Canis lupus familiaris: one gene and its partner. The protein of the gene in region 1 purifies or fractionates together with the protein of each later gene. This does not show direct contact. Links are inferred from orthologs where the notes say so. Each region holds a gene or a part of one and is shown in the gene's direction. Other genes may lie near its edges.

Region 1 (4,187 bases):
TCATCACCGACACTACCAACCTGAGCGCCCTGGCCAGCCTCACGCCCACCAAGCAGGTAAGGCCCAGGCCGCCCCCCCCTTGATCAGGCCCCTCTGCAAAGTGCTCCCATGGGGAACTCAGGAGGCTGCTCTGTCCCCCCAGGTCTTCACCTCAGATGCTGAGGCCTCCAGTGAGTCCGGGCTTCATACGCCGGCGTCTCAGACCACCACCATCCACATCCCCAGCCAGGATCCTGTTGGCATCCAGCACCTGCAGCCTGCCCACCGGCTCAGCGCCAGCCCCACCGGTGAGCAGCCTTTCCCTGCTCCCTCAGCTGGGGAGGAAGGTGTGTGCCACAAGCGGGAGGGCACCCTGTGCTCCCCTGAAGTCAGCCAAGAGGGGTACAAAACCACAGGAAAATGGGCCTATCTTACAGGAATGTCTCGTTGACTCTGTTGAGGAAAAAGATTAATTGAAAGAGGCAGAGGGTACTGATGAGGAGTACGCGGGGCTGCCCATGGGGCCAGAAGCGGCGCACAGGCGTGTTGGTGTGGCTCAGGGCTTAGCCCTGTTTGAGTATGTTGCCCACATTTAAAAGTTAGCTTTCACAAAGAAATCATGGTTTCTGGCTTTTCTTGGAAAATTGGAGACTCATGTTCCCATGTTCAGTGACAAAAGAGTGTGGGCTCTCCAGGTCACCACATCCCACTTGACCCATTCGGTTCAAGTCCCTGGTGCCCTGCATCTGCAATGATGAAGAGCAGGCCCCTGGAAGTCAGGCTGCTGGGCTCTGAGGCCGCAGGCGATCACTTGCTAAGTGCGTGACTTTAGGCCACTACCCTGCTCCCCATTCCCCTCCCGGAGCCTCAGCTTCCTTTCTCTAGTGCTAGTGGCTGCAGTGACAAGTTACTGAGGGATCCATGGGCCAGCCTCCATGCTTCATCCATGGGGCATGTGTCATCGTCCCCATTTTACAAATGAGAATTTGCACACTCAGGAGGTGAGGGACTTGACCTTGCCTCTGACAGTGACCAGGTGGCAGGGCCAGGACTTGAACCCAGGTCCAAACTCAGAGCCCATTCTTTTAGCCACTGGAGTCAGCCAGGGTTCTGTTTGAGACACAAGCCAACAGGAATACAGTGTTGACCCCTGAATAACACGGGTTTTGAACAGCCTGGGTCCACTTGTATGCTGATTTTTTTTGGTAGAGCACAGGACTGTTAAAAGTACTTTTTTTTCCTTAGGATGTTCTTTTTTTTTCTTAAAGATTTTATTTATTTATTCATGAGAGACACACAGAGAGGCAGAGACAAAGGCAGAGGTAAAAGCAGGCTCCCTTTGGGGAGCCTGATGTGGGACTCGATCCCAGGACCCTGGGATCACGACCTGAGCCAAAGGCAGATGCTCAACCACTGAGCCACCCAGGCGCCTCTCCTTAGGATGTTCTTAGTAACATTTCTCTAGCTTACTTTGTTGTAAGAATACCACGTATAATACCTAGAACACGCAAAATATGTGCTGACTGTATATGTTACTGGTACGGCTTCTGGCTAATAGTAGGCTATTAGTAGTTAAGTTTTTGGGGAGTCAAAAGTAATATGCAGATTTTTGACTGTGCAGGGGGTCAGTGCCCCCAACCCCCACACTGTTAAAGGGCCAACACAAGTATATGTAAGAAACTGGCTCAGGTGCCTGTGGGATGGCAAGTCTGAAAGCTGTAGGGCAGACCAGCAGGCTGGCAACAGAGGTAGGATTCCTTTTTCTCTAGGGAACCACAGCTTTTGTTCCTAAAGCCTTCAAATGATTAGATGAGACTCCCTCACGTCTTCAAGAGAAATCTCTCACTGTTTCCAGCCAACTGATTATAGGTGTTAACCACATCTACAAAATACCTCCACTGTGACACTTAAATGTTTGGTTCAATGCCTGTACTATAGCCTAGCAACGCTGACGCATAAAACTAACCACACCATCTCACCAGGGCTTCTCAAATGTTTCCACTAAAATGTTCTGAGGAGGCCACTCACTGTGCGGCCCCCGAGCCTGGCTGGGGGCGTTGATGAGACCCAAGCATAGAGGTTTGGTTTTGGAGTTCTGGTTATCTGCTGCAGTTCAGGGGATGGCAAGGCCTCGTGTCCTCGGTGCCAAGAACCCCTTGGGATGGGTGGGCGAGGTGGGGTCAGGAAGGGCTTGGCCGGCAGCCAGCTGTCTCACTCGCCCCTGCAGTGTCCTCCAGCAGCCTGGTGTTGTACCAGAGCTCCGACTCCAACAACGGCCACAGCCACCTGTTGCCATCCAACCACAGCGTCATCGAGACCTTCATTTCCACGCAGATGGCTTCATCCTCCCAGTAACCATGGCAACGCCTCCCAGGGGCTGGGCCCTGCCTGGAGCCTGCCTGGCCTACTTGGGGGGTGACTGGGACATCTGAGCCTGTGACACTTTCACTGCCACCGGAGTGCAGCCTGAAAACTGTGCCTTGGTTCCCAGCCTGCTCTGTCAGCGTCAGAAAGAGTTCCAAGGCTCCCCGACCTCAGGAGGGCTGCTTCAGTGCCCAAGAGGGGACTGTGGAGAGCTGGGAAGCAGAGCAAGACACAGGAGGGACTGTTCCTGGTGCTCAGGGTCAATCTTGTCATTTGGAACACAAGGGCCGGCCTTTGGATTTGGGGACCCTGGTGCCCCTGGTGCCCCCAGCCCATGCCTGTGGAGAGCCCCAGAACCCCCAAGGGCACTCTGGCAGTTGCACTTCTCAAGACATGAGGCTGTGGAGCTGTGACTCACTGAGCTCCAAGAGGCCCAGGATCAACACAGCCCCATCCTGTCACCTGTGTCCTGATCAGGTCCCTCCACCCTGCTCCCCTTCTAGCTATAGTCCCACATGCCTGTTTGTACCTACCCTGCCCCTAATCGCATGAGCATTCCCCAAGTGGTTCCTCTGTGCTGGGGCCTGGGGCTTGGATGCAACCCCCTGGGAGAGCTCCAGCTAGCAGCAAAAAGCATGCAGGGCTCTCCAGCTTTTCTCGTGCTGAGCCATCCCTCTCTGCAGCCTCTTGGCCGTCCGTTCTCCTGGGTATCACACCTTCTAATGCCAGTCTGGCATCTTGCCTCTGCGGGAAAGACCCCCTCTGGGCTAGGAAATCATCTCTGCCCCATGGGAGCCTTGTGACTGCGCCTGGTGCTGTCAGGATTCTGAGCAACAGCTCCTCTGGCCTGTGGGGCCCTGCAGCCCCTCCCTGGTTTGGGGAAGAAGCTGCTGAGCTTGGAAGGCACCAAGGCCTGAGCAGGTGGCAGATCCGAGGGGCCCAGAGAAGGGAAAGGAACCAGTGGAGAGAAGCCACTTGCATGGACAGGATTGTCACCGGGCTGGCTGAGGGATGGGGAGAGGTCCAGCTACACCCAGGCCCCTGAGGTCCCGAGTGCCACCAAGAGAGACAAGCCAGCTGTGTAAACCTGGAGCTCCGTGGCCTCCACTTCCTGGGGCTGCTGCAGATAACCTGGCTTGCAGACTGCTCCCATCCTGGGACTGAGGAAGGGGCCAGGGAAGAACCAGCGCCCCCTGCAGCTTGCAGCCAGCTAAGGGCAAACCTGTACATTTATTTAACTTTTAGTAAAGGAAAGGAGGAACGGAAGAGTGGAAATGAGTAGTGGAAACTTCTTGCTTGTCCACACAGCGCCCAGGTGGGGCTGGGCAGGCAGAGGGAGGCGGGGGGTGGGGGGGGGGTGGGGGAGGGTGAGGGACTGGGGCCTGAGGAGAGATGGCTCAGTGCACAGACTCTCAGGTCCCACCTCTGTCTTTGTTACTCGGCTGAACTCCGGAGGCAAGGCCACGAAGCCAGAATTTCCCCTTAACTCTGAGCTGCTCCTCTTTCCTGCAGAACACTCCTGGTGTGTAAAACCCCATCCACAAGTGCTGCGATACTTTCCAGTCTTGAGGCTGGGGTGCGGGAACACCCACTGGGCTGCAGGCAGCAGGACACCACCTATGTAATGTTTACTTAAAATGTCTCATCAAGGTTCAGCATTGATATGGAGGCAGCACCCCAATCACTTTAAGTTTGGGGTCTCTCGACAATTTATTTTCAATAATCTGGCTGGCTCAGAGACATGATTGTACATGGTACATTCACAAATGGAAAAGACTTCTGGAAATCTGGAGTGGGGGACGAATCTCTCCTTTTTCAGACAATGTTACATCAAATCTGTGTGG
Region 2 (4,549 bases), on another chromosome or scaffold:
AGGGAGCCGGATGTGGGATTCGATCCCAGGACCCTGGGATCATGACCGGAGCCAAAGGCAGGCACCCAACTGTTGAGCCACCCAGGTCTCCCGATCAGGAATCTCTTGTTACCTCACACCCACCAGTTCATTTTGCAGTTCTCACTTCAATAAGCAAGTTTGCAGAGTATTCTTCATAACTGTATACACCTAATTAAGTACTGGAAATGAAACTTTTAATCCTGTCTCCAGTCTCTGCCCACTTGAGGCACCAAAGGAAACTAGAATGTCTTAGATGAATGCTTTGAGATCAGTGACATCCGATCAGGGTCTGCAGAGATTCCTCCATTAAGTTTTTGTGAAGTGGGCAAAGGTAAGAATATGGATTGAGCCATAAGTCTGAATTTTAGGATATTTTAAGGCAAAAACGCTTATCCCCCAATCGATATGTGAAAAAAATTAACTGCTAGCACCTGCTAAGTTGAACTTAAATGGGCACGCATAGAAAAAATTCTCTAGTATATGGCTAAATGTTAGGCAAAATGGATTATATTATAGAACCCTGGGTGGCTCAGCGCATGACCCCAGGGCCCTGGCGTTGAATGCCACATTGGGCTTCCTGCAGGAGCCTGCTTCTCCCTCTGCCTGGGTCTCTGCTTCTCTCTGTGTTTCTCATGAATAAATAAATAATCTTTTTAAAAATTTGGCTGTATTATTAATTTGCTTAAACTAGTAAAAGATCCAAGTGAATACACTAAAAGGCCGTAAACTGTACACTTCAAAGGGTGAATTTTATGGTATGTGGCGTCCCATCGCAAAAAAAGGCAAGAAAAAAAGGAGTAAGAATAAAATATTAGTGAATACATAAAAGACCCCCCCCTCCCCTTTTCCAGAAAGAGACACACTTCCGTAAATAACCCGCGTACGTTCCTCTGCGGAGCGCGCCCCGGGCGCTTCTCTTCGCGGGGCACGGAGGGCCAGGCTCCCAGACTCCCCGGCGGGCACGGCGGAGCTCGCCCCGGGCCGGTCCACGGTGGCTCTGGCCCTCCGCGGGCGGGGACACGGGCCGACCCGCGCCCGGCGCCCACCGCCTCGCGCCCCGGCCCGCGGAGTCCTTGCGCCCACCGTCGGCGAACGTGGGTCAGGCCCCAGCGCCCCGCAGCCAGCGGCGCCAGCCCGCCGGCCCCGCTCCCGGCCCCGCTCCCGGCCCCGCTCCCGGCCCCGCTCCCGCCCCGCTCCCCGCCCCGCTCCCCGGCCCCGCTCCCGCCCCGCTCCCGGCCCCGCTCCCCGCCCGGGCTGGAGGGGGCCTGCGGGGCCTGCGGGGTCGCCCGCCTGCCGCCCTGCCGCCTGCCGCCCCCTGCCGCCCGCGCGGTCGGCGGCCCTGAGGCGCCCGGGCCCTTCCGGGGCGGGCCGCGCGGGCGCTCGCAGGACGGCGCGGCTGGAGGCCGTTCGCACGGCCCCGCGGCTCCCGGCCCCCCGGTGGGCCCCGCGGGCGGCAGGCAGGCAGCGCGGCGGGCAGCCCTCGGCCGGCGGCCATGGCGGCGGCGCGGGGGACGTCGCGGCTCGTGGTGGCGACTCTGCGGGGCCGGGGCGCGAGCTTGTCGGCCGGGGTGAGAGCCGGGGGGAAGGAGAGCGCGGCGGGAGGAGAGCGAGGGGCCCCGCGGCGGGGCGGGGGCGGGCGCGGGGGCGGGCGGGCGCGGGGCCCCTGCCGGACCTCCGGGCTGGCGTGTCCCGTCGCGGTCTACGGAGCTGCCCGCCAGAACAAAACCGAGGACGATTTTGGCTTAAAAAAAAGAAAGAAAGACGAGCACGAATAGTAGCGGTAAAGCTGTCTTTAGCGAGCCCGGGCGCTGCGCTCGCTGGTGCGCCGGCTGAGAGCGGGGCCCGGCTCCACGCCGCTCGGCGCGGGGTCAGCGCGCTGCTGTGGATGTGCTGCTTTAGGAGGAATTATTAGGGACACTTACCTATTTTACAGGGGACAGATCTGTTCTCTCCTCTTCCGCAGAGCGTCCCGTCACTTTACCGGCCGTGGAAATTAATGTATGGAGATAAATGAACCTGAGGGAAAGTTTGGACACGCAGCACCACCTAGTGGGGAAATGTTGCATTAAACTTCCCATTTCATCCTCCGTCGCTTGCTAGAGCCCCCTGGGCAGTTGGAAAGTGTTTAACAGGGATTCATTTAAGGTAGCTTGACGACGGGGGCACCTGGGCGGCTCAGCGTCTGCCTCTGGCCCAGGTCGTGATCCCGGGGTCCTGGGATAGAGTCCCGCGTCAGGTTCCCCCAGGGAGCCTGCTTCTCCCTCTGCCTCTCTCTGGCTCTCTCATGAATAAATAAATAAAATCTAAAAAAAAAAATATATATATATTTTAATGATGATGATGGACTCTGTTTCGTGGCCAGTAAGGTGAGAGCACGAGTTGAGTGCTTACTGACACCTAAACGTGTCCCAAAGCATACCTCTACCCAAGGTGCTGATAATCCAGTAAAATTACGGGGTTCAGAGGAATGAATAAACGACATGATTTGAGTGGCTGCACCAAGCCATGGTGGCTCTATGCTAGGTGTCTACATTCAAGATCTCTTTAACCCTTTCAAAAAAGTTTGACAGGTAGTTGTTGTGATACCCCCACCATAGACATAGACAGAGACATGAGGATACTGGTATTGAGAGAAGCTAAGTGATTTGTTCAGTGTCACCGCACCTGAAAGTGACAAAGCTAGGCCTTGAATCAAGTTCATTCTCTCCAGACTCTATGCTCTTCCCTATCCCTGTCCCCATCTCCTGCAGAAAAAAAATTAAGCCCATCATAAAGGGTTCTGCAGAAGGTGTATCTGCAAGGGGACCATTTGTGCTAGGTAGGTGAAGTGGCTCCATTTCACAGTCCTGGACTCAGTCCCTGTTCTTGGGCAGACACCTGTGGCAAGTACCGAGCACAGAGCACATACCATTGCCCTCATTGGGGATGTGCAGGGTGGAGAATGTGGAGATCAGCTCAGTGGGCATGTTTTGCTCACTTCAGGTGACTGCTGCATTACCCACAGCATGGTTAATGGTTTTCTTGGCAGCTACTCAGCGTGGACACAGATAATTTAAATTCTTTTACATAATTTTTGGAGTTGAATTAACATATTTAAGTGACTAATAAGAATTTTAGATTATTTCCTATAGTGGGTCACTATAAAACTAATGAATAGGTGTTTTGGATTTTTTTTTTTTTAAGATTTTATTTATTTATTCATGAGAGACACAGAGAGAGAGAGAGGCAGAGACACAGGCAGAGGGAGAAAGCAGGCTCCTCGTAGGGAGCCTGATGTGGGACCTGATCCCAGGACCAGGATCATGCCCTGGGCTGAAGGCAGACACTCAACCACTGAGCCACTCAGGTGTCCCAGTGTTTTGGATCTTAATATTAACAGTAATTGTTTGGCTTTTTAAAAAAATTTGTTAGAGAGAAAGAGAGACCATGCGTGGGGTGAGGGGCAGAGGGAAAGGGAGAAGCAGAGAGCCTGATGCGGGGTTTGATCCCAGGCCTCTGGGATCATGACCTAAGCTGAGGGCAGATGCTTAGCCCACTGAGCCACCCAGGTGCCCCAATAGTAATTGGTTTTGATAAGAAGTCTTCAAATGTTTCTATTAGAGACTTTTTTTTCTTTTCTTTTTTTTTTTTTTTTTCTTATGTTGTGGGAAGGGTGGCTACCTGGCAAGGAACAGAAACAAGAAAATTGGCTCATGAGCATCCTTTTTTTCCTTTTATTAGAATAAATTGTCTTTTTTTTTTTTTTAAAGATTTTATTTATTTATTCATGAGAGACAGAGAGAGAGGCAGAGATATAGGCAGAGGGAGAAGCAGTCTCCCTATGGGGAGCCCGCTGTGGGACTCGATCCCGGGGCCCCGGGATCACACCCTGAGCCAAAGGCAGGCTCAACCACTGAGCCACCCAGGTGCCCAAAATAAGTTGTCTTAATTTCACTGATTCTGCCCTCTTAATTACATTAATGTCAGTGATAAAAGGTTTCAGGATTTCTAAAATGGGAACGAGTTGTACTTTCACAGTGGAGGATCCAGCTCAGCCTCCAGTTGGCATTTCGTGAGGACACCTTATAATACGTTTTGTGTTTCTGGGTGACAGTCCCTCTCTCACCTGAGCCTTCAATAGCTCCGAAAATAGATATGGTTGGAAGTATTGTTTGGCATTTATGCTGGAGAGCTAAGCTCTTTTGACTTCTCCTACAGTATCCTTCTCTTCTTTCTCTAGCCGTGATGTTTAGATTTCTTTCCTTAAAAAACAAATAGCTTGGAAATGTGGGCCTGTTAACCAACAGAACTCTGGGTTTGTGAATTTCATCACCAGGGTGAGTGCAGGAACAGGGTGGACAGTGCTCTGGCCAGACTGGAGGGATTTGTCTTCCTGGTGTCCTGGAAAAAACCTCACTTTACTAAGGCAAGGGCTTTTTGCTTGTGGTCCAGAGGATCTGTGGACTCCTAGAAGTTATTATCCCAAATCCTGAGTTAAGTGGACATTTGTTTTTCTCCCCCCTCTCTGGAGCTTAGTTTTCATCAGACC

What was found.
Region 2: the proteins of HNF1A (region 1) and PCBD2 purify together in Homo sapiens (affinity purification with mass spectrometry; 4 studies listed by BioGRID and IntAct, with this or other methods). This does not show direct contact. The link is inferred for Canis lupus familiaris from reciprocal best matches to the Homo sapiens genes HNF1A and PCBD2.

The regions. Positions count from the first base shown.
Region 1 is NC_049247.1:17,166,997-17,171,183, forward strand, and holds the end of HNF1A (hepatocyte nuclear factor 1-alpha), read left to right. Parts: coding exon 1-56; intron 57-142; coding exon 143-287; intron 288-2,206; coding exon 2,207-2,334; 3' UTR 2,335-3,618; downstream 3,619-4,187. UniProt on the Homo sapiens protein: Transcriptional activator that regulates the tissue specific expression of multiple genes, especially in pancreatic islet cells and in liver. Binds to the inverted palindrome 5'-GTTAATNATTAAC-3'.
Region 2 is NC_049232.1:22,974,522-22,979,070, forward strand, and holds the start of PCBD2 (pterin-4-alpha-carbinolamine dehydratase 2), read left to right. Parts: upstream 1-1,490; 5' UTR 1,491-1,514; coding exon 1,515-1,589; intron 1,590-4,549.